4 linked regions of the Caenorhabditis elegans genome follow. The protein of the gene in region 2 interacts with the protein of the main gene of each other region in a pairwise test. Each region holds a gene or a part of one and is shown on either strand. Other genes may lie near its edges.

Region 1 (5,132 bases), on a different chromosome or scaffold from region 2:
AAAAATATTGTTGAAAAATTCCCACCCACTAATTAGAATGACGTGACTTAAAAAAAACAAAAAGAATGAAGAAAACGAGGAAATGGGGGAAATGTGGGTGGAAAATGAGAGGAAAGGCAATAAAATACATACATACACTCACCCCCGGATATACAATTATTGAGGATGAAGAGGAGGAGGAGAAGAAGAAAATCTGGAAATTGAATAATAATAATTTGTAGCAGGAGTAGGCAGAAAACTATTTTTCCGGCAAACCGGCAAATTGTGGTTTTTTTGTGAAATTCAGAATTTCAATTTCAATCGGCAAAATTGTACACATCCTAGGAATGTTCATACATCTATTTTTAAAAGTAAGCAAATTATATAAAAATATCTAAAGAAAACGGGAAAAGTTCAAATAGGCACAGTTTTAAGTATTTTCGTCTTATAAAAAATCCCTCTAAATATTTACGGCAAATCAGATATTCGGCAAATCGGCAAGCCGGCAATTTGTCGACAAAAAAATTTGCCGGAGCAATTGCCGCCCACCCCTGATTTGTAGTGCGATTAAACAAATTCAACAATATATTTTAATAGTTTTCAAGAAAAAATGTTTTTTTTTTAATTCAAAGTTAGGCAGGGGTCATGATATTGGGAAAATCGTGAGGCTGAATTTTTCTGCAATTTTCAAATTTCCAAAACTATGCACAATGAGCTTCTCGAGAGACTCCTTTCTCTCTCTCTCTTTTTTTCGCTTCGTTTTTTCTATTTTCTAGAAGGGACGCGCACTCACTCACGCTACACTCAATTTAGTTAAATTGCTCTAGAATGTGTTGCTGGAATGGGGAAAAGAGGAACAACGTCATCTCTCGAGAGCTCTCATAATTGGGTGAACGCATCACTGAACACACCACGACAACTTTGGCTGGGCAGGAAAATGAGTTTATGGGAGAAACGGGAAAGTGTTGGAAATGTTGTTTTTTGTAAAGATTGACTGAAAACAATTTTAAAAATTTAAAATGTTCCTGTGATTTTTTTAATTCAGAACTTCGAGCCTCCCGCAAAATTTTTTCGGAAATTTTAAACTGCTTGAATTTCCCGCCTGAATTATTTGAAAAAATAATTTTTCCGACAACGTTTTTTTTGATGAAAACTTAGAATTAAAATACTATAAATCCTGAGAATGCGTATTGCGCAGCATATTTTACGCGCAAAATATCTCGTAGCGAAAACTACAGTAATTCTTAAAATGACTACTGTAGCGCATGTGTCGATTTACGGGCTCAATTTTTGAAGTTATTTTTTTTCGAATAGTAACATCGAAATATCATTTTCATTCGTTTTTTCGTATTATTTTCCCTTTTCTCTTAAAGTTAATTTTAAAAATCGAACCCGTAAATCGACACAAGCGCTACAGTAGTCATTTAAAGATTACTGTAGTTTTCGCTAAGAGATATTTTGCGCGTCAGATATGCTGTTCGCGTTTGGGGAATATCGATCGTCACTAGTCAAAAATTTTAGAGGGGTATATAATGTTTATAATGTTTATATGACAATTTTTAAAATAATGCATCTATTTTTCATTGAGAAATTTTTATTAATTGTTTTTCTTATATTCATTTGAAACTATAACATCATATCTTTGATTAATCATTATTTAAATCTTAAAATTTCTCGAGCCCTATTTAAATAAAACTTAATTAAATTTATCGACAAGATCCCGCAGAAAAACTAAATTTGAAATTCCCTCTCATTGTGTTGCGTACAGCACACCAAATGTTACGCAACTTTCTCTGCGTCTCTCTCCATCGCATTGTCTCTCTTCTACCGTAACCTTCAAGTTTTCTCTTCAAAAAATAGTTTTTCAAATCCAATTTTCGTTCTTTTTCTGTTTTCCCGCTGTAAAACTAAGAAATCTGAACAAAATGCAATTTTATTTCTTTTCCCAAGCTTTTTCTTATCAATCAATCTCTTTGTTCTCTTTCTCCTACTCTTCTCCGCTTCAAAACTTGTTATCAAATCGTACTACTGCTTTCTGCACAAGTATATATTATCTCCCTCAGTCTTATCGTTATATTTTACATTCATCGCTACTATTTTCCATCAAAAAGTAATCGTACTATTCAGAGAAAATGAGCTCGCTCACCGACAAAACCCGAAATGGAGCCCTGAAGCGGAATCTGCTCCGCCAAATGCTCAAAGCGAGCGTCTTCAAATTCGGCGAGTTTCAGCTCAAGTCTGGGCAGATTTCACCGATTTATATCGATCTTCGCGAATGCTTTGGGCATCCGGGGCTTTTGGTGAGTTTTTTAAAGTTTAAAAAAAAAATAATAGCTTATTTTAATGATTTTTATTTAAAAGAAAACTATTTCCAGATGCTTATCTCAGAAGCGATATCGAAGCAGGTGGAGATTAGCGAGGTTCAGTACGCTGGAGTTCTTGGAATCCCATACGCGGCTCTTCCCTACGCATCAGTCGCCGCTGGAAACTATCTGAAGAAGCCGCTGCTCATCGTTCGCAAAGAGGCCAAGTCCTACGGCACGAAGAAGCTCATCGAGGGATTGTACCAGCCAAACGATCGTCTGATCCTCATCGAAGACGTCGTGACGACAGGTGGAAGCATCCTGGACGTGGTAAAAGTGCTTCACACAGAGAATTTGGTCGCCTCGGATGTATTTTGCATTCTGGATCGAGAACAAGGCGGGCGTCAGAAGCTCCAGGACGCGGGTGTCACGCTGCACAGCCTGCTCGACATGCAAACAGTTCTCACATTCTTGTACTCAACTGGAGCGATCGGTGACGAGCAGTGGCACGGAATTGTTCAGGTTAGTCAAATTATCTCGATTTTCTATTTAAAAATAAAATAATTGATTATTTCAGGCTCTCAACCTTCCGTACACCTCCCCAACAAAGCTGGAAATCAACAGCGAGCTCGAAAACCTGTCCAGTCTACCGTACGTGGAAAACGTGCGAACTCCGCTTGCGGAACGCGAATCCCTCACAGAATCTGCACTCATCAAGAAAATTCTTGGAATCATGCGCCGGAAGAAGTCGAATCTGTGTCTCGCTGTCGACTACACTACCGTCGAGCAGTGCCTTCAGATGATCGAGCTCGCTGGTCCATTTGTGCTGGCGATCAAGCTTCACGCCGACGCTATCACCGATTTCAACGAGGAATTCACGAGGAAGCTGACGACGATGGCAAATGATATGGACTTTATCATTTTCGAGGATCGGAAGTTTGGCGACACTGGAAACACGAACCTTCTTCAGCTCACTGGAGCCCAGAAAATCGCCAACTGGGCGGATGTTGTGACTGTTCATGCCGTACAAGGAAGTGACAGCATTGCAGGAGTCTTCAGGAAGCTCGCCAAAGATCCGACTTACAGGCTCAGTGGAGTTCTCCTCATCGCGCAGCTCAGCACCAAAGGATCTTTGACTGCGCTGGAAGGATACACCGAGACCGCCGTCAAGATTGCCAACGAGAATCGTGACGTGATTTCTGGATTCATCACTCAGACGAGAGTGTCTGCTTGCTCGGATCTTCTCAATTGGACGCCCGGTGTGAATCTCGACGCGAAATCCGACTCGGCCGGTCAGCAGTGGAGAGGTGTCGACGAGGCGATCGAAGTACAGCAGAACGACATCATCATCGTCGGAAGAGGCGTCACGTCGTCCAGTGAGCCCGTTCAGCAGCTCAAGAGGTTTGTTTTTTTTTTTTTAATTAAATTTTTAAATGTCAATTTTCTCTTTCAGATATCGACAAATCGCCTGGGATGCGCTCACGAGAAGCGACGATAGCATTTGAAAGTTGAAAAATCCGGAGAGCCTATTTGTAAAGAAGAAATGTGAATATTTATCTAATTACGTATTTATTTAACTTTGTTGATTTTGTTCAAGCTTCCCCAGAATTGTTGAAATAAGTAAATTGATTGCCTCCATCTTCCTCAAATTATCAAGAAATCACATGCCCACACCATTTACTTTACTGCTAACCTGATTAATCAATATTTTCTCCGTCAAGGCGAAAAGCTACTCCTCTAAGCGATCTTATCAGTTCGAAAAATCGGCATCTGATGTGTGAACGACCCGGTGTGTATTCTATAATGTCCTTTGATCTTTTCCTCCATGCTGAAAACATCAGAAACGATTCGATTCCTTATCAGTGCCGCCGCGAAGTTGATAAAAGACACGAGCATCACTGCTCCGGGTGCATTTTCGCTTCATTTCTCCAGTTTTTCATCTTAAAATCTACAGAATGACTCGCATTCTTCCGTGTCTTTTCCTTGTCTTGCTCGCCGCTGCTCCACTTCTAGCCAATCCAGCTAACCCACTCAATCTCAAGAAGCATCACGGTGTTTTCTGTGATGTCTGCAAGGCTCTCGTCGAGGTTTGTGCTCCAAATATCTCCAATTTTCCTCGTTATTCACATATTTCAGGGTGGAGAGAAGGTTGGAGATGATGATCTCGATGCATGGCTTGATGTGAACATCGGAACTCTTTGCTGGACTATGCTGTTGCCGTTGCATCACGAGTGTGAGGAAGAGCTGAAGAAGGTCAAGAAGGAGCTGAAAAAGGATATTGAGAACAAGGATTCTCCAGACAAGGCGTGCAAGGATGTTGATTTGTGCTAAGAATAATAAATGTTTCCTTCAAAATCATCAAAATATTCTTTCATTTAACAAAAACAGAAACAACGGCGAAATTGGTTTGTGCGCGTGGAATTTTAGAGTTATAAAAATTAGAACTCGTGTTGGTTCTAGTTGTTGAATGGGGGAAAAGTTCTCAGCTACCCTGAGAACACGTAAACTAGAAAACCACACACGGTAGAAGGGAGGGGGTATAAAATTAGAAATTAGAATATAATTGTCTCGAAACACACACACACATACAAAAGAAAGTTATCTGGATAAAATATAGAGTGTGGTGAGGACTGATAATTTACAGCGGCGATTTAATAGCACCAATTAAGCACTATGACACGTGGATGTGAGGAGTGATTGTGAGATGTGGAGGTGAAGTCTACTGGACAACGCAGCATCCTCGCATGAATCGAACGTGGCGGCGGCGGAGTGCTCCGAGCTGAAAATTTAAAATAAATATACTTTCTTGAGCAATATTTATAATTACCGCTTGAGGGGAAGGTTTCGCCT
Region 2 (5,825 bases):
TAAAATTCCGCTGTAAACTACAAACTACATTTTGCCACGTCATCGTTTTATGCCCCATATCCACGTATTCATTAGAAATTCTGTAATTCCTGAATTCATTTTGGCATGCATTCTATCTATAAAAAAGAAGATCGAGAAGAAGAAGAAAATGAAAAAATTCGGCGTCTTCATGTGCTCCTTAATCTATTCCAACATTTTTTTTTTGGTCTGCCAGACTACAAACTACAGATTTAGAACTAGCAGACCTAAGCTTCTTGCTCAAATTTGAAAATTTCCGAAAAAAATTGCAATTGTTTTTCCAAATTTCCCGTTTTTCGAGAATTTGAACAATTTTTCCCGCGTTTTCTGCACAATTTTGACGTTTTTGGGTTACTGTAGCGCCAAAAGTACGCAAACACCGAGTCTCTCACGCGAAAATGCACAGAATCTCAAAATCATCGGAAAAAACAGTCCCAGGGGTGAAATGAGGCGCTGAACTTGAATTTGACAGTTAAAATTATCAAAAAATACCTGAAAACATTGAAAATTCAATTTTTTTAGTTTTTTCTTTCAAAATTTCTTTTTCGGAAGATATATTCGCCTGGAAATAAATTATAGGGCTATATATTAAATTTCTAACATTTTTCTTATGTTTCCTGCTCAAATTTGTCTTTTGGGGGGTACTGTAGCCCCAAAAGTCCGCAAACACCGCACACCTTACGCGAAAATGCACAGAATCTCAAAATCCTCTGAAAAAAGTGTTCTAGGGGTGAAATGAGGTGCTGAGATCGAATTTCAATGTGAAAAATTATGAAAATCGTTGGATTTTGAGAAATTTTTTTGGTTTTTCGAAAAAAACCTGCACCTCCCCACCCCCCCCCCCCCCCCTCTTTCAGGGGGTACCCCTTAATCTATTCCCACTCATTACTACATCTTTTTTTTGCTCTCATTTTCTCTGCGTCTCTCACTTTCACATACTATCTCGTCGGGAGATTAGTGTGAAGAAGACGCTACCCTCAGAGAGCAGGAAATGCGCGGAATTTATTGGAAAATGTGTGTGCTCTCTCGATGAGGGAAATGGAGTGAAGAAAGGGGGGGGAGGAAATTGAGATAACATGTCAAAACTCGTGATATGATATAGCCAATAACATTGGTGAAAATTATAAGCCAGAAAAAAACATCGCAAAAAAAAATTTTTTTTAGCAATTTTTCCCGAAAATCTTTATTTATTCAATTTTCATCAATTTTTCATGCTAAAATTCGAACTCAGCACCTAATTTTACCCCTAATCCATCCTTTTCCGACAACTTTCGGTTTCTGTGCATTCTGTCGTAAGGTCCGGTGTTTGCGTACTTTTGGGGTTACCGTACCCCCGAAAAGTTGAGTTTTTGGCAAAATGTTTTTTTCTCGAAAATCTTTATTTTATCAAGATTTTTCCTGATTTTCATGTTAAAATTCAAACTCAGCACCTTATTTTATCCATACCACACCTGTTTCCGACATTTTTGAGATTCTGTGTTACCGTACCCCGCAAGACTTAAAAATTGAGCTAGAGACTCGGAAACAAGACTTTGGCTGGAAAATTTGACAAAAAATTCGTAGGGAACTTCAATTTTGATTTAAAAAAGTTTTTTTGGAATTTCGGGAAAAAAAAATTTTAGAAAATTTTTTTTCCAAACTTATTTTCTTTATTTTTCATTTTTCACTTTCTCAATTTTTCATCTAAAAATTCAAATTCAGGTCTTGATTTTACCCCTACCACGTCTTTTCCGGCAATTTTGAGTTTCTGTGCATTTTGTCGCAAGGTCCGGTGTTCGCGTACTTTTGAACCTACAGTACCCCCGCAATACTCGAAAATTGATCTAGAAACTCGGTAAAAAAGGCTTCGGCTGTAAAATTTGACGAAAAAATTGTTGAGAAGTTAAATTTTGGAAAAAAAAATTATTTTTGGAATTTCGGTGAAAAAAAATTTTTTTTTGGAATTTTTCAAGAACAAAAGTTTTGAAAATTTTCTGAATATTTTTTCCATGATCCCCTTTTTTGAGTTGTTTTTCAACGCAATTTTCTCTGCACTCTCTTCACTCTCTCATCCACTCCATTCATCATTTTTTCCAGCGCGCATGTCTGGAACAGAGATTCACTTTTATTTTTCCTTTTTTCTTTTTTTTTTTTTGCTCCAAAACTTCTTTTCCACTACTTGAAATTTTAAGTCTTAAAAATTTCAGCACAAAATGAGCGCATTTGAATGTCGAAAATGCGATGATTTTCCGATTGAGGAGAACACGGAGGACGAGGATGATGACGAGTGTCCGACGGTTATTCGGAGGGTAGGTTTTTTCAGGAAAACCGTTGATTTTTAAAGGTTTTAACTATAAAAATCAAATTCAGCAGCGTTTTTTTGCTCCTAAACCGGTTTTTTTGCAAAAAGCAACAAAAAAATTAAAAATTTTTTTTTTTTCAAAACTCGAAATTTTTCTCGAAAACCAGCAACTTTTAAAAATTTTCATATCAAAATTCAAATTCAGCGCCACTTTCTACCCCATTCCCAGCTTTTTCAGCCAATTTTAATTTTCTGTGCATTTTGTCGTAAGGTATGGTGCATCGATTTGTGTTTGCGTACTTTTGAGGCTACAGTAATTCCAAAAAACTTAAAATTGAGCCAGAAGTTTAGAGAAAAACTTATTAAGGGTGAAAAATTACGGAGAATCCGAATTTCTTAATAAAAATTGTGAAAAATTTCAAATTTCTACAAATTTTCCAGTAAAAAATTTTCTCGGCAAAAAAACGCAACTCATTTTTGGAATTTTTCACACCGAATTTCATTTTCAACACAATTTTTTACCCCTCAAACACCATTTTAAGTCAATTTCAAAGCATTCTGCATTTTGTCGTAAGGTGCAGTGTTTGCGTACTTCTGGAGCTACAGTAACCCAAAAAATTTCAAAAATGAGCTAGAAGCTCGAAAAAAAAAAGTTTCCAGGGTAAAAAATGTCGGGAACTCGATTTTCATATCGAAAAACCAAAAAGAAGCCTCTAAAACCTCCAAATTTCCTGAATTTTTTTCCAGTCCTACTCAGCCGACTGGCTGCACAACGACAATTCCTCTGGAGGTGATGACGATTCAGAAGAGGATTCTGACGCCGAATTTCTGGTTCATCCGTGTCTTCGGAGTATTATTAAATCGAAATCCGCTTACGCAGTTCCCCGTAACTCTGATGACGTTGCAGCGGCGGCAGCGATGAAAAATAACAGAATTAAGCCGAGCAAAACAAGCTTTGAGGTGAGCTGGATGAGGAGGTGGTGGTGAAGATGTAGTTTGTAGTCTTTGTAGTTTTTGTAGTTTGTAGTTTATAGTTTGTAGTCCGTCAGACCAATGTTTTTTAGTTTAAAATTGATTGAGTCTGCCATTTGCAGGTTCATAGTTTTGTGTGGTTAGATCTGTTATTTCGAAGTTGGTAATTTATAGTTTGTAGTTTATGGTTTGTAGTTTATAATTCGTAGTTTGTAGTTTGTAGTTTGTAGTCTGTAGTGTATAGTCCATCAGGCCAAAATTTGCAAGTTTAAAATTGATTGAGTCTGTCATATGTAGGTTAATAGTTTTGTTTGGCTAGATCTGCTATTTTGAAGTCAGAGATTTATAGTTGTAGTTTGTAGTTTGTAGTTTGTAGTTTGTAGTTTGTAGTTTCTAGTTTGTAGTTTGTAGTTTATAGTTTGTAGTTTATAACTTGTAGTTTGTAGTTTGTAGTTTGTAGTTTATAGTTTGTAGTCCGTCAGACCAATATTTGCCAGTTTCAAAATGATTTGATCTGCCAAATTTAAATTTTTTGTATATATTTTACAATTTATAGTTTATAGTTTGTAGTTTGTAGTCTAGCAGACCAGAACACCATTTTTCAGATTTCCTTATCAAAAATGATGGAATCAACGAGTAAAAGCATAGCGGAAGAAGCAGAATACTCAGTAGCCGACCTACTTCCGACACTTGATGAAAAATGGCCGGACCCTGAGGAAGAAAATGAAAATTTGAAGTCAAAGCGGCGGAAATCCAATATTATGAGGTGAAAATTCGAATTCTCCATCGTTTTTCACATGTTACCCGTTTTTTCTGGGTCTCTATCGTTAATTTTGAGACTTTTGGGGTACGGTAGCCCCAAAAGTCCGCAAACACCGTGAGCGTGACGCAAAAATGCACAGAAAAACTCCGATTTTGCTGAAAAAGTAGAGATATGGGTAGAAAATCATGCTGATATTGAGTTTTGGCATGAAAATTGTTGAAAAATCATTTTTATATCGCAAAAAAGGAACATTTTCCCTGTTAATCCAAATTTTCCCCCTTTGAAACATAAAAATTCGAATTCCTCACCATTTTTCACTTCTAGAATACTTTTTTTTGGAGTCCTAGCGTAAAATTTGAAAATTTGAGGTTACTGTAGCTTGAAAAGTGCGCAAACACCCAGCATCTTACGACAAATTGCAGAAAATCTTAAAATCGGCTGAAAAGGCGGGTTTAGGGGTAAAAAATGACGCTGAGCGTGAATTTTGATATGAAAAATGTTGAAAATATCTAGATTTTGTGAAAATTTGGAAAATTTGGTTCAGTATTGGTCTGCCAAAGTCCAGCATACTCTAAACTCAAATTTCCAGGTACTCCCCGAGCCTATGTGACTCTGATCTATCACTGAACCTCCATGATAAGGATTCTGAAGATGATGAGGATCGTATTCTAAACCGCCCGTCCGGATGTTGGTCCTCGCCGCCCAACTTCTTCGATGAAACATTTCGCGGTGTTTCTCCAATGAATCGTTAGTTTGTTTACTGTAGTTTGTAGTCTAGGCTTTACTATAAACTACAAAAATTGGTTGTGAAAAAATGTTTTGAAATATCAAAAAAAAAAAAGAAAAAAAATCGAATTTTTTCCCAAAAATTTCAAACGAAATCAAATTTTGACGTTAAAATTCAGATTCCTCGCATTTTTTCACCCTAGACCCATTTTTCCTGGTGTTTCCTGCTAAATTTTGATCATTTTGGGGTACTGTAGCCCCAATAGTACGCAAGTACGCAAACACCGAGCCCCTCACGCGAAAATGCACAGTTTTCTGGAATTGCGTAAAAAAGTTGGGGTAGGGGTGAAAAATGGTGCTGGAAACGAATTTAATAGTGAAAATGTTTTAAAATCGGCAGAAAATATAAAAATTTGAAGAAAATTTTAAAAGTTGTTTTTCAAAAAAAATTTTATCCAATTGTTTTGCACAAAATCAAATTATTAAGTGAAAATTCAGATTCCTCGAATTTTTTCACTCTAGCACCATTTTCCCCCGTGTTCTCTGCTCAATTTTGACCATTTTGGGTTACTGTAGCTCGAAAAGTACGCAAACACCGAGCCCCTCACGAGAAAATGCACAGTTTTCTACAATTGCGTAAAAAAGTTGGGGTAAGAGTAAAAAATGGCGCTGAAAACGAATTTTATAGTGAAAATGCTCGAAAATCAGCGGAAAATCCAGAAATTTTGAATTTTTTGAAATAAAAAAGTTTGAAGTTAAAAAAAAATTTCCAGAAAAGTGTTGGTCAGCACCGGATCTCGAGGATATTGTGTTCAAGACATGCAATGTGTTGTATAATTATGACGTCATCGGCGGCGGGAAAATTCCAATTTTGAGGGAGCTAATCGACGAGGACTCCATTGCAATTGGGTATCCAGTTATAGAAACACCTGATAATGGTATGTAGTTTGTAGTTTGTAGTTTGTAGTCTGCTAGATTACAAACTACAAATAAAATTTGAGTTCATGGCACATGTCCCCTTAGTTTTCTGGAAAACTTATTTGGGAAATTTTGAAATTTTGAAAA
Region 3 (4,538 bases), on a different chromosome or scaffold from region 2:
ATACTGACTCTAGTTTTTAATTTCAAAGAGGTAGTTAAGCATGATAAATTATCCTCTTAGAAAAATAAAATTACATTCTAAAGTTGATTTATTATTTTTCAACTGTAAAATAAATGAACATGATCGTTAATATTATTTATTGCAAAAATATAAATAAGTATTGTATTGTATATACACATAACTAGTGTCACAATTATACATTGGATGACTACATTCTCTTGCAACATTGTCCATTTCCACACGGAGAATAGTTTTGCTGGCAAGAGCAGGAGTTGACTGATTGAGTGAGGCATGGCATCTGGACTAGTTGAGCAGTAGAGCACGATTGATAGCATGATTGGGTGCATGCTGGAGCACATTGCTGCATTGGTTGTTGTTGTTGAATGCATTGTTGTTGGCATGATTGTTGGCATTGTGGAACACATTGAGCAGATTGAGACACTGAAGGTTCTAGGATGACAGTCACAATTTGTGGAGCAACAACTGGAGATTGGCATGCTGATTGGCATTGCTGACATTGTGGAGCAGCTGGTTGCTGACATTGTGGAATACATTGTTGTTGGCACTGTTGAGTCTGTTGGCACGAAGTTTGACATTGTTGGCAAGCTGGTGCAGATGGAAGTGTGCATTGTGGAGCACACTGTTGCTGGCAAACTGGAGCATACTGCTGGCAAGTATTCTGGCACTGCTGGCACTGTGGAGCTGATGGCTGTTGGCATTGAGGAGCACACTGTTGTACGCATTGTGGAGCTGCTTGCTGACAGGTTGTCTGGCATGGTTGAGTACATTCCTGATAGCACTGTTGAACTGGAACTTGTTGTAGAAGACATTGTTGTTGACACTGTTGTTGGCATTGTGGAGCACATTGAGCAGAGATTCCCAAGTTGACATTGATGACTTGTGGAGCAACAGTTGGAGCACATTGTTGAACACATTGCTGCTGACATTGTGGTTGACATTGTTGAATTGGTTGAGCTTGAACACATTGTTGAGTGCACTTTTGTTGGCATTGTGGAACACACTGGACTGTGACTGGAGCTGGAGCAACACAGGATTGTTCACAGGCTGGCATGCAAGATGGTTGACATTGGACTGGAGCTGGAGCAGCTATTTGAGTATAACAGGAAGACGTCTGACAAGTCTGCTGGCATGAAGATTGACACTCATTCATAGATGGAGCAAATTGACATTGGTTCTGGCAAGACTGCTGACAAGCTGGAGCACATTGAGAAGTTTGCACTTGGTAAGTTACTTGCTGAACTGGTTGGGCACATGAGCAGGATGTCTGGACTGGAGCAGTGTTCTGACACGAACAACTGTACTGTTGTGGTTGAGTTGCTTGTTGGCATGAACAACTTGGTTGAACTTGTGAAGCACAACCACATGATTGACGTTTATCACGAATTGATGTTGCCTGGAAAAAACTTCTGTGAACTTGGAAAACAAGCATTTTGTTGCTAACATCGATTACGTCCAACAAATATTTGTAAGATGTGGGCACTTAGAAAACTAGACCGTATTATCAAGAACATTTTGAAAAAACTGTACATGATGAATTTTTCATCAAGTGATGGAAAATTGTTGTAGTTAATATAATATTTTTAATTATTAATAAACCGAAATACTAACTGAAAAAGTTTAGAAATGTCGTGCCATTCTAAAAGTGAAAGTACAATGAAACTTTATCAAACCTCGATAAGCAGACAGCTGGAAGCAAAGAGAGCTACAAATACGATGAAACGCATGATAATGGTTGAAGAAGCAGGGCTTGATGATTTCCACAGATATCAAGGCTTTATATACCCCCTCAAACACTGCTTGCGTACGATTATAGCAATGTAAAAAAATAGTGCCGGAAAAAATAGTCCAAGAGTTCAAGTCTTGTAATTTCGAATGGCTATTGTGAGAGCAAACAAAAAGGTGTTTCTAATAATGAGTGGCGTCAAAAGGCAATAAACAATTTAAAATCGTTTTGTCGAAATCCGAACTCTAAAGTTCAACAGGTAACCCTTTCATTACTTTTCTGAAAATGTAAACGAAATTTTTTGGTACACATAGTTAAGCGGAAACTCGGCGCAATCCAAAAAAAAAACACTGTATCAGTGCAAACGCGCACCCAACCTCTTTTTGATCTTTGCAACTTGCCGTGCCCTCAAGAAATAGTGTGTGTAAGACTGGGAGGCGACGAGCGTGTTTTTTGGTTCATTTGCCATGTTATCATTGTTATGTTTGCGCTGAGCATGAAGCCGGTTGATGGATGGAGTTTGATAAGTGGGACGGAACTGTTTGATGGCTAATGAAACAGGGTTGTAGGACGTTGGTATAAAAGTCGGAAAAATTAAAACAAGGGCATCAATTGTCTCTTAGCAGCTCTTCAATCATATTGACAATGCGTTTTATTACAATTGCAGCAGTTCTTCTTGTTTCTAGCCTTCTTATTGTTGAGGTACGATTTGTATTACTGTTGCTTCACTTACTTTCTGAATTATCTGTAGAATTAGTTAACAATTTATATGTACACCTTGAAACATTATATTATTTCTAGGCATCTTCAATTCGTGATAAACGTCAATCATGTGGTTGTGCTTCACAAGTTCAACCAAGTTGTTCATGCCAACAAGCAACTCAACCACAACAGTACAGTTGTTCGTGTCAGAACACTGCTCCAGTCCAGACATCCTGCTCATGTGCCCAACCAGTTCAGCAAGTAACTTACCAAGTGCAAACTTCTCAATGTGCTCCAGCTTGTCAGCAGTCTTGCCAGAACCAATGTCAATTTGCTCCATCTATGAATGAGTGTCAATCTTCATGCCAGCAGACTTGTCAGACGTCTTCCTGTTATACTCAAATAGCTGCTCCAGCTCCAGTCCAATGTCAACCATCTTGCATGCCAGCCTGTGAACAATCCTGTGTTGCTCCAGCTCCAGTCACAGTCCAGTGTGTTCCACAATGCCAACAAAAGTGCACTCAACAATGTGTTCAAGCTCAACCAATTCAACAATGTCAACCACAATGTCAGCAGCAATGTGTTCAACAATGTGCTCCAACTGTTGCTCCACAAGTCATCAATGTCAACTTGGGAATCTCTGCTCAATGTGCTCCACAATGCCAACAACAGTGTCAACAACAATGTCTTCTACAACAAGTTCCAGTTCAACAGTGCTATCAGGAATGTACTCAACCATGCCAGACAACCTGTCAGCAAGCAGCTCCACAATGCGTACAACAGTGTGCTCCTCAATGCCAACAGCCATCAGCTCCACAGTGCCAGCAGTGCCAGAATACTTGCCAGCAGTATGCTCCAGTTTGCCAGCAACAGTGTGCTCCACAATGCACACTTCCATCTGCACCAGCTTGCCAACAATGTCAAACTTCGTGCCAACAGACTCAACAGTGCCAACAACAATGTATTCCACAATGTCAGCAACCAGCTGCTCCACAATGTCAGCAATGCCAATCAGCATGCCAATCTCCAGTTGTTGCTCCACAAATTGTGACTGTCATCCTAGAACCTTCAGTTTCTCAATCTGCTCAATGTGTTCCACAATGCCAACAATCATGCCAACAACAATGCATTCAACAACAACAACCAATGCAGCAATGTGCTCCAGCATGCACCCAATCATGCTATCAATCGTGCTCTACTGCTCAACTAGTCCAGATGCCATGCCTCACTCAATCAGTCAACTCCTGCTCTTGCCAGCAAAACTATTCTCCGTGTGGAAATGGACAATGTTGCAAGAGAATGTAGTCATCCAATGTATAATTGTGACACCAGTTATGTGTATATACAAGACAATACTTCTTTATACTTTTTTAATAAATAATATTGATAACTTTAAGTTTTTACTCAAATTTAGAAAAAAAAAAAAAACTTTGACCACTGAGCGGATCGAACGCCCAACCTTTCGATCTGGAGTCGAACGCGCTACCATTGCGCCAAGCAGTCACATTTTCCTTTGTCATCTAGTGCAATGACACGAAAGGGGTAGAGAGAAAGGAGAGAATAAGGAGGGGACATATGGCGGTAGAAAAACCGGTGACGGACTACTCTCTTCATCGTTTATCACATATTCTGAGTGTTTGTTTTTTCAAATTTAATGGAGGAAATAGATAGAATAGTGAGGAAATGAGAATGTTATTGATTTTCATGGCGGCATTGGTGTGAAACTTGTTGCTCCTACTGACGCGATTGTGCCAACTCTTGACTGTTTAATCTCTTTGAAACTTCTGAACAGAATCATTCGAATTCCTGGAAGTTTGTGAGGTTTTTCTTGCACGGGTTGTTGCAAGCACCCGACATCTACCGGGTTCTCGATGTGAACATATGCTGAATCCGCTAGAAGTCAAGCGCTACGGAACACTATGGAAAAATGAAGACCGCCAGATGTCGGCTGCAACTGAAAGTTTTGGGAATTTGCTTACTTTTTGCAGTCATTCGATACTCCGAAACGACATACATCACAATAAGTGAATCCGTGGCTGGATACAAAGTAAAGCTGCACAGCATTACTCCAGACGGCAAGCTCACATCTAAG
Region 4 (8,483 bases), on a different chromosome or scaffold from region 2:
GATGTGTCCCCCTATCGCCCAAAATCCCGTCGTTGTTACGTTACTATTCAGGCGGAACACACACAGTCACCAGAACCATCATATTTTATTTGTTTCTTTTTTCTTTTCCTTTTCTATTTGAAACCATCAACTTGGGATTTCCCATCTCACGTCTCAATGTTGCAGAATCTTTAGTAAAAGTCGAAACACAAATATATGATTTATTGGCAGGTTATTATCAGTTTGTGCCAATTTATTATCGAAGAACAGTTTGATTAAATCAAGTAAAGTCAGAAAGTCTATTCAACTTTTATTAAGAATTTTAAATATTTTCTATAATCTCCAAGAGTTCGACTCATATTAATGTGTATTCTTTACATTATAACTTTTAAAATTCAATTTTTTTCGCTTAAAAGTTCAAAAATCTGAAAAGAACAATCGGACAATCGTTGTGGTCGTCATAGAGCTGAAATGATCTACGAATAGTTCAAAGTACTGTATAATCTAGTAGCCATATACATTTTCATAATCCTCTCCGTATTTCTTTTCACCAATCCGCTCCGTCATTTTGCATTTTTAACAAGTTTCGGTTATTCCATATTTTCATTTACATAACTTACACGTTTATGTTTCTATTTCATGTTAATTCCATAGTATTCTGGATGGTTCCAAAATAGTTTTGAATTGTATATTGTTTGAATTGGTCCAACTCCGAGAATTACCAAAAGTTTAGAACATTTGAAGAAAACATAACAATGTTTGGTTATTGATAACATAAATTTTGTTGAATCTTCAAGCTTCATTTATTCATATTTTTCCAAATTTCAAAAAAGGATTTCTAAATTTAAAATGTCCACTAAACAATCCTTAATCTCTTGGCAGCTCCTCTTCTTCACACGTGGTTTTTTTCAGTTATCAGAACAATAATCGGTGGTGTGCCAGCTTGCTGAATTGGCTTGGCAAACTTTTTTTGCGTCCTTCTCCGCCACCGTCACTCGTTATCATCAATCACAAATTTTTGGCTGCTGCCACGTTAGACTCTGATTTGTAAGGGGGACATGAACTATTATCAGAAGCTAATTCTTAAATTCTAAAATGAAAATATTAATTTAGAAAAACGAGAAATAGATAATAAATGGAAACCTACTCTCGTTTCTTTCTCCAATAAATCAAATAAAAATAAGAAAAGTGCGACTGGTTGAGTCGTTACCTAACTTTATCAATATTTGATTAGAACTTAACAATGTTTTTGAAATGATCCACTTGGACGTACAAGAGGTAGTACACATTAAACTGACCGTTCGATTTTTTTTCTTAACTTTAATTCACTTAGAGAAAGGTAAAAGGAATCCATATATAAATTACGGGATGTAAATAATATTTTATTATTAAAGAAAGGTTTTAAAACAAACTATGTAGAATCTAGTCAAATAAGTAATTTTCTATTTCTGGAGATAATTTTATTTAAAATTGAATTTTCTTAATTACAGAGAAATTACGTTCAAAATCTCATTAAAAGATGTGATAACCCGACACCTCAATACATTGACCGTTTAATTTCTTTCCGTTTTCATATATATTTTCATCTAAACACATTCATATATTTATATATACAAATGAAACCTAAACCCGTTTAATAATCCGCCTGACCGTCTATCCATCCTGTCCGTCCGTCTATCCTCCTGTCCACCTTCCGACCACAATTACCGTCCCTTTTTCTTTCATTTTCACCGTTTATTTTTCTGAAATCCGTTGCTTTAATATGTATACATTTATATATACTTTTTTCCAGCAACAACAAATAGAAGAACACGAATTTTAATTTCAATTAATTCAAAATTTTTCCCATATCGACGCTGCCGTTTGCAGCACCATCTGTTAAAATGGAACAACTTGATGTCGAAGATTGGGAGTATTGGGGTGATGAATATCTTGAAGAAGAACCAACTTATGCAATAAGACCTGGTACAAGAGTTGTGAAAGTTGAAAGGTTAGTAAATCGATTATTATAACTTTTCTGTGCATTTGAACTTGCATCATAACCCTAACTTTTTTGAGAATTAATATCAAATTATTAAGATTTATTTGCTCAATTGATCAGTTGGAGATCATTTCATAGTTTTTTCTTTAATTTTTTGAACTTGTGAGATAAATAATTTTCAAAAAATTTTGTTTACCGAAGCCGCCAAAAAATTTTATCTCAAATATATAGCTCTAGTGGCTCTTTGATAAAAACATTGAAAATTGAAAAGAAAAGATTTACTTGAAACCCCATTTAATGCTAAATCTAAATTTATTCAAAGTCAATGTGATACAAAATCCCTTCAGGCCTTAAACTTTTACATCTATTCTGATATCAAAGCATTTGATAGTTTCAAAGAAATTACGACATTTTGGCAATCAATCGCTGATCTTCTGACGTTTTCAGATCAATTGACAATGATTTAAATGAACTTTTGAGCAATTATCTCAACTCATTAGAGCCATTAGATAGTTTTCAAGAAGCTGCAAGTACGTGTTCTATTTGCATTTTAATTCTAATTCCCTTTTGTATAGGACAGAGTCTCCCCTTTGTTATCTTATTCTTGCCCCGCCACGACGCAACAACCATTTTTGTGATAATAATTTGCAATTTTATCAATGGCACTACTACCTCTGATCACCACCATCTCACACATACTTTGTAAAAGCGCGTCGATCGTAAATACTACTGTCTTGCCACTTTAGTAGTAACCCTGCCACGTGGAAACTTTGAAATTTGGCGTGGAAATGAGTGAAGAGGCACGTGACAAGATGCGCGCGAAGAATGATCAAATTGCGATAAAAAGGGATAGGTGAATGATCTTTGTGATTTGAATGCTACTTGAGGAATGGTTTACATGGAAATTGAGAAAAAGTAAAATAAAAGGGTTCAAGGACGGTAATCGATCAATTTGAATGAATGAAGAAAGATATGATTGTGATTGATAAAAGGAATTTGCTACAAGAAACCGAGACGAACTGCATCGGTTCATATGAGTCAGATGTGTTCTTCGGTTGAAGAAGATCACTTAATTTAGTGAGAAGTTTCTTTTGAGATTCAATTTTGATTATATTCTTAGAAGTTTTCAGAAAGACAGTTTAGTATTCACTCCACAAGGTTAATAGCTAAAAGTATTCTCTACTCGATTCGAAAAATAATTTTTGCGGGTTTTTACTTTTAGTATAAAATATTTGAATTTGAAAAAATCTCTAGTTAGTAGTTTGTTCGTGTGCAAAGCTTAAACAGGATAATTAAAGTATTTTAAAATATAATCCAGCTTTGATTCTAGATCACAATTCAGCATCTACTTATAGATAAACTAGTATATGTTAACTTCCCCTATCCTATCCAATAACCTTTTCCTTATTCAGCTGTAAACAACAATTGATACAAGTTATCTTATCTCCAAATGCCTCCTCCAATTTTATGAGACCCGTAAAAAAATTCGATAGACAAAAAGCATTACGATTTTATTTATTTTGGTGACATTTTGGATCCTTGTAGTCAGAGGCTCTATCATTTGATCTTCTAATATATCTTTACAAAAAGGCAATACATCCAATTAGCCCAATTAGTCTGCACGTCTTGATATAAATATGACATCATACATTTACTGATTCGAATCGTTGATTTTTAATTTAGAATTAAGGATAAACAGAAAGAAGATTTAAGTGTTTGATTGGAGAATATAGGCATCCTATGCTAAAAGCTATCTCTAATTTATTACTGACATCATCCGTTTCTCGTCTGTGTTTCATGTATCTTTATCACCTTTCCCTCCTCTAGTAGAATGACCTAGAAAGTGATTGGCAAGTCTGGCAAGCCTACAGGGGGACAAGGGTTATAAGATTGATAGGTAATAAATTCTTGTAAAATGAAGAAAAAAAATTCTGTGCGGATAAACGAAGCGGAAATCATCATTGTGTGCGTGCTTTGAGGAAAGGTTCGCGCCTGTTTACTTGCCTTGTTCGGAGGTCGAGATTTCGGACACGAACCACCTCATATTTTTCTCTCGTTTCTTTTCTTCGATTCTCTTTTTTCCATTACTATCTCTCTTCCTTTGGTTCTTATTTTCTCGACAGTCTCTTTTGGTCAGTATAGTTCCTAACTAGGAACTGTTCGAAATCTGGCATGATAATTCTTCAAAAACGCTTATGAAACTTCAAAAACTCGGACTATTTTACTGTGAAAGTATATACCTCCGTTCGTTTCAACAAAAAAAAAGTTAAGCTTTGAAACTATAGAAAAATTAATAATACATCTGCTGCCAGTTGATTTTAAATTGATTCAATCGAAAATAGCCAAGATATCAGGTGCCAAAGTTGAGCAAGATTAATTGAGAAAATAATGTTTTTGGGAGTGCATTTTTTCAAATATACAAGTAGTTTATCAACAAAAAATTATTTTGTACTGGTGTAATTGATTTAAAAAACAAGTAATTGATGTGAAAAACAAGCTTAAATACTGTTCTAAAATAAAGTTACAGGTGTTAAAATGTTTTAAACAAATTATTTACTATTTGTTCAAAACCTTAGTGACATCTAATCTTTATGTTTTCATTTTCTCTTCATCCTCTCAAGCGTCTTCTGTTTTGTATTCTTCTTCTTCTTTATTTCAAATCAGTGTCTCTTTCGCCTTGTTATCAGTAAATCGTCGTCGTCTTCTCCTCCTTCATCTCCTTTTATTTCAATGTCACTCCCACTTAATTTCCCCCATTTTGTAATATTATCATAGAGAGACACCGCCCCATAGGTATTCCCCCAAATACGTCAGTTTTTCCACGTGGAACTTTTTGGTCTTTTTGATGTGTGAACTTTGATAGTTTGCAACAAATTGAAATTATGAATTTTTTTTATCATCAATGGAATTGGTCACTGTTCCAATGATTTTTTAATTGGATTCTTAAATGCCTTTTGGCTAGAAAACTTTGCACATTTAGCTCCGATTAAGCAATGAATTTTTACAATAACAAAAAAGTGCCTATCGACTTTCAATTCCGCTTCCACACACAAAATTTTGCAATTTTGAAACTGAAAAAACCGTATCAAATATAATACTCTTTTGAAAGTTTAATCACTTGAAAAATGTAATTCCGTCTTCACCAAAAAACGTTGTATTTTCCAAGACACAAATTATTGTGGGAAGATCAAGAAATCAAAATTTCAAGGACACACTCTAGTTTTTAAATTTTATTATTTTTGTGTTTGAAACTAATTTTCCCGATCTTTTAACTTTAAAATTTCCAGAGTTCCAATGATGCGAGGAGATTTAAGGACAAGCGGTGCCACGTCATCAAGTGGTCCCGCCACGTCATATATCATCAGGCCCAGTGACAAGCAACCCACAGTTTCTAGTGGTGGATCACAGAATGGAGATTCAGTTTGTGCTGTTTGTGGTGACGGAATTGCAAAATTACATTATGGAGTACTTGCATGTTATGGATGTAAAGGATTCTTTAGAAGAACACTGACTGGAAAATATCGATATGCATGCAGATTCTCAAATAATTGTATTGTTGATAAATGTAAGTTTTTTAAAGAATAAATTCGAATATACTTGACTGAGTATCTTTATAATCAAGAAAATACCTGAAGTTTCGGTTTTCAGTCCAGCGAAATAGTTGCCGATACTGCAGATTTCAACGTTGTATTCAAGCAGGAATGGATCCAAAAGCAGTCAGGCCGGATAGGGATCAGACAGGAAAACAGAAAGTTCCAAGAATTAAGAAGAAGCAAATTGATGAGGAGCTTTTAAATCATATGGTATGTTTTGAAAATGTAGATACACTGAAAAAAAACTGGTGGCAAATTTAAAATTTCCAAAAATTTGACAATTCACAAAAACTTGACATAAAATTATGGAAAATCTCAAAATGATTTGAGTGTTTTTTGTGATGTTTTCTATTTGTTCTGGAATAATCGAGTGAAAAATGTTTATGCATATTCAAACAGTTAAAATTTAGTTTGTGTTGTTGATAAAATCCAGAATAACTTACACTATACATGAATGATGTATAAATTAATACTTGAAATTTTCAGATGCGGTTACAAGGAGATGATTGGTCACGAAAACTTCCTGTCGAGACTCGAATTTTATTAATGCAATTGATGAGTATTGAGGATAAAGTAGTAAAAGGAGATAATAATATGAGTGCACAAAACACTGCAAAAGATCCAAAAAGTATTTCATTACGGGAAATGTTTGAATCAAAACCTGCATTAGATGGTCGACGGATGGAAATTGGTTATGAACCATTTCGAATGGCAAGAACTGAAGAACTTGGAGTAATTGCTCATAGAAGAGCAATTGCAGCTGTTGATTGGGTTGATTCATTAACTGAAATTGCGGATGCAGTTGATACTGAAGATAAAGTTGCATTGGTTAAAAGTTGTTACTCGCCGTTAACTATTTTCAATTTCTCTGCGAGAACTGCTCAGAATACGAAGAATCCGGATATTTTGTGTCTTTGCAGTCATTCATTTGTTCCAAGAAGATTGCCTCCAGAGTTTAATGAGACAAAGTAAGTTGGAATTTTAATTTAATTCCAATTTTTATCAACGCAATAAAAATATATGAAAAATACTATTTAAAATTAAAGAAAATTAATTTGATTTATTCAGTCATCTCTCAAACTTCCTGATTGATCGAACGTTAAATGAATTGGTGGCTCCATTGAGAAAATTAAATCTGAAAGAAGAAGAAATTGTTCCATTAAAAGCAATTATTATTTTAAATCCAAATGCAAAAGGACTATCCGAGCATGCGAGGCACGCGATTTCTGAGTTGAGAGATAAAGTTCAAGATATGCTTTTCCAAATTGTCAAGGAGCTTCATCCAATCTATTCTGCAAGCAGCCGATTTGGAAACTTGTTGCTTCTTCTGCCAACAATTACTGTTAGTCGTCATTACTGTTGCATTCTCTATTTCAAAACATTTCAGACTCTTTCCGGATTGATGTCTGAAAACATGCATTTCTGTCAAGCTCTTGGAGGACGTGCAAGTGGAGATAACTTGTTAGCTGAAATGTTTGGAGATAGAACATTTGATGATCAACTTATCAGCAGCAGCATTAGCCCACCACTATTCGAGAATCCAGCTGAAATTTGTTTAGAGGTCAGTTCACTAAAAATGACTGAAAGATCAAACTTTATATCATTATCTTTTTCTTTTAATTGTCATTAAAACTATAAACTCATTAAAACTATAAAATTTCGGAGTTTCTCGGAGAATTGAAAGTTGAAATTTGCCAACTACCAACTGATAAATGGCAATGATAAGAGTGTGCAAAAATCTAATTTCTTGTTTGTTTGCAGAGTATCTCACCGCCAATGTCTGATCGAAGATTCGTGAGAAGGGTAGATGTGGCAACACAGACAAATGATGATTTGTTATCATCTGGACCATATCTTCCACATTCAAATTCATGTAGCTCCATGCTTAATGCTGGATACTCTCCTCCAATGGTGAGAGAAGTTTGAAAATATTTATGGAATTTGAGGGAAAATATGTTGAAACTTTCTTGGATAGTAAAGATTCTAAATTGAGGGAACTAGCTTCAATGCGTTTTACACAAACATATTCTTAAGAATATACAAGAAGTTTGAAAAACGTTCAAAAAAGCTCAGATAGAGGCTGTGACTATTATCGATTTTTCTTTTATACAAATCGGTACCTATTTTTGCTAACTCGCTCCAAGTCTCTTAACATTTTTTTCTTGGGAATTTCTATTTCTATTATTAACACCGTTTCAAGTTAAGACTAAAGTGGTCGAGCCCAAGAAACTCCTTCCATATGTGGGCTTTTTTGCGTTTTTCAAATGTCTTGTGGCTAGGGAAATGTTTCTTTAAAATTAACATTAAAAAATCCAAATTCTCCAAAATTTATATAATGAGTGAATTTTCAGCTGTCAACATCTCCATTCCCACTTCTCGATGACAATGACAGTGCCTTCCAGAATGACATCAGTTTGACTGAGCTGAATGGTTGTGAAGAGTTCTTCAGTCAACTTATGGATCAACCAATCATTGACAGCTAAAATCTACAGACCAACCCATCTTGCCCGTAATTTCTCATTACTTATATGTGTACATATCTCATTAAAAAAGATCGTTTTCCTATACATACAATATACATACATAGTAAGTTATTGTCTCTTTTTAAACCGATTGTTCTTCTCATTCATTGACATTCAAGAAATGACATACACCCCTCACACATCACCAGAATATTGAATGTATTTTTTGATTAAAAAATTATATGTTCGATTCGGACATTTTATGCATCTAATCGTAAGAATACAAAATTCTCCTCAAAAAATTCAATGAATTCACTTGTTTTGCAAAAGATCAAAAATGTCTCTCTCTTCCTCACTTTTTCCTCTCATTCTCTGTGTCCCTCTCTCTCTTTTCTTCTGTGAAATCCCAGGTATGAAAATAGTCAAAAAAAAAAAGAAATTTATCTGTTTAGTGTGCTGTCCCCACGA

Evidence for each region.
Region 1: the proteins of jip-1 (region 2) and umps-1 interact in a two-hybrid assay, tested with the Caenorhabditis elegans proteins (one large-scale study listed by BioGRID).
Region 3: the proteins of jip-1 (region 2) and pqn-90 interact in a two-hybrid assay, tested with the Caenorhabditis elegans proteins (one large-scale study listed by BioGRID).
Region 4: the proteins of jip-1 (region 2) and nhr-31 interact in a two-hybrid assay, tested with the Caenorhabditis elegans proteins (one large-scale study listed by BioGRID).

What each region holds. Positions count from the first base shown.
Region 1 is NC_003281.10:10,354,623-10,359,754, reverse strand, and holds umps-1 (Orotidine 5'-phosphate decarboxylase), read left to right. Parts: upstream 1-2,106; 5' UTR 2,107-2,111; coding exon 2,112-2,279; intron 2,280-2,354; coding exon 2,355-2,804; intron 2,805-2,859; coding exon 2,860-3,683; intron 3,684-3,735; coding exon 3,736-3,787; 3' UTR 3,788-3,918; downstream 3,919-5,132. Other genes in the region: spp-1 (Saposin B-type domain-containing protein), read left to right, coding at 4,238-4,369, 4,419-4,613; T07C4.3 (ANK_REP_REGION domain-containing protein), read right to left, coding at 5,002-5,061, 5,110-5,132. UniProt on the Caenorhabditis elegans protein: Bifunctional enzyme which catalyzes the formation of UMP from orotate in the de novo pathway of pyrimidine biosynthesis. May also form UMP from uracil. Regulates the size of gut granules during embryonic development.
Region 2 is NC_003280.10:1,324,791-1,330,615, forward strand, and holds the start of jip-1 (PID domain-containing protein), read left to right. Parts: upstream 1-2,204; 5' UTR 2,205-2,210; coding exon 2,211-2,306; intron 2,307-3,046; coding exon 3,047-3,259; intron 3,260-3,876; coding exon 3,877-4,037; intron 4,038-4,623; coding exon 4,624-4,781; intron 4,782-5,533; coding exon 5,534-5,698; intron 5,699-5,825.
Region 3 is NC_003282.8:15,289,114-15,293,651, reverse strand, and holds pqn-90 (Prion-like-(Q/N-rich)-domain-bearing protein), read left to right. Parts: upstream 1-2,389; coding exon 2,390-2,446; intron 2,447-2,463; exon of another isoform or gene 2,464-2,485; intron 2,486-2,515; exon of another isoform or gene 2,516-2,545; coding exon 2,546-3,751; downstream 3,752-4,538. Other genes in the region: pqn-91 (Prion-like-(Q/N-rich)-domain-bearing protein), read right to left, coding at 209-1,414, 1,692-1,745.
Region 4 is NC_003282.8:8,022,802-8,031,284, reverse strand, and holds the start of nhr-31 (Nuclear hormone receptor family member nhr-31), read left to right. Parts: upstream 1-1,771; 5' UTR 1,772-1,862; coding exon 1,863-1,969; intron 1,970-2,627; exon of another isoform or gene 2,628-2,774; intron 2,775-5,247; coding exon 5,248-5,525; intron 5,526-5,608; coding exon 5,609-5,763; intron 5,764-6,039; coding exon 6,040-6,521; intron 6,522-6,621; coding exon 6,622-6,895; intron 6,896-6,940; coding exon 6,941-7,114; intron 7,115-7,314; coding exon 7,315-7,464; intron 7,465-7,904; coding exon 7,905-8,036; 3' UTR 8,037-8,483. UniProt on the Caenorhabditis elegans protein: Orphan nuclear receptor.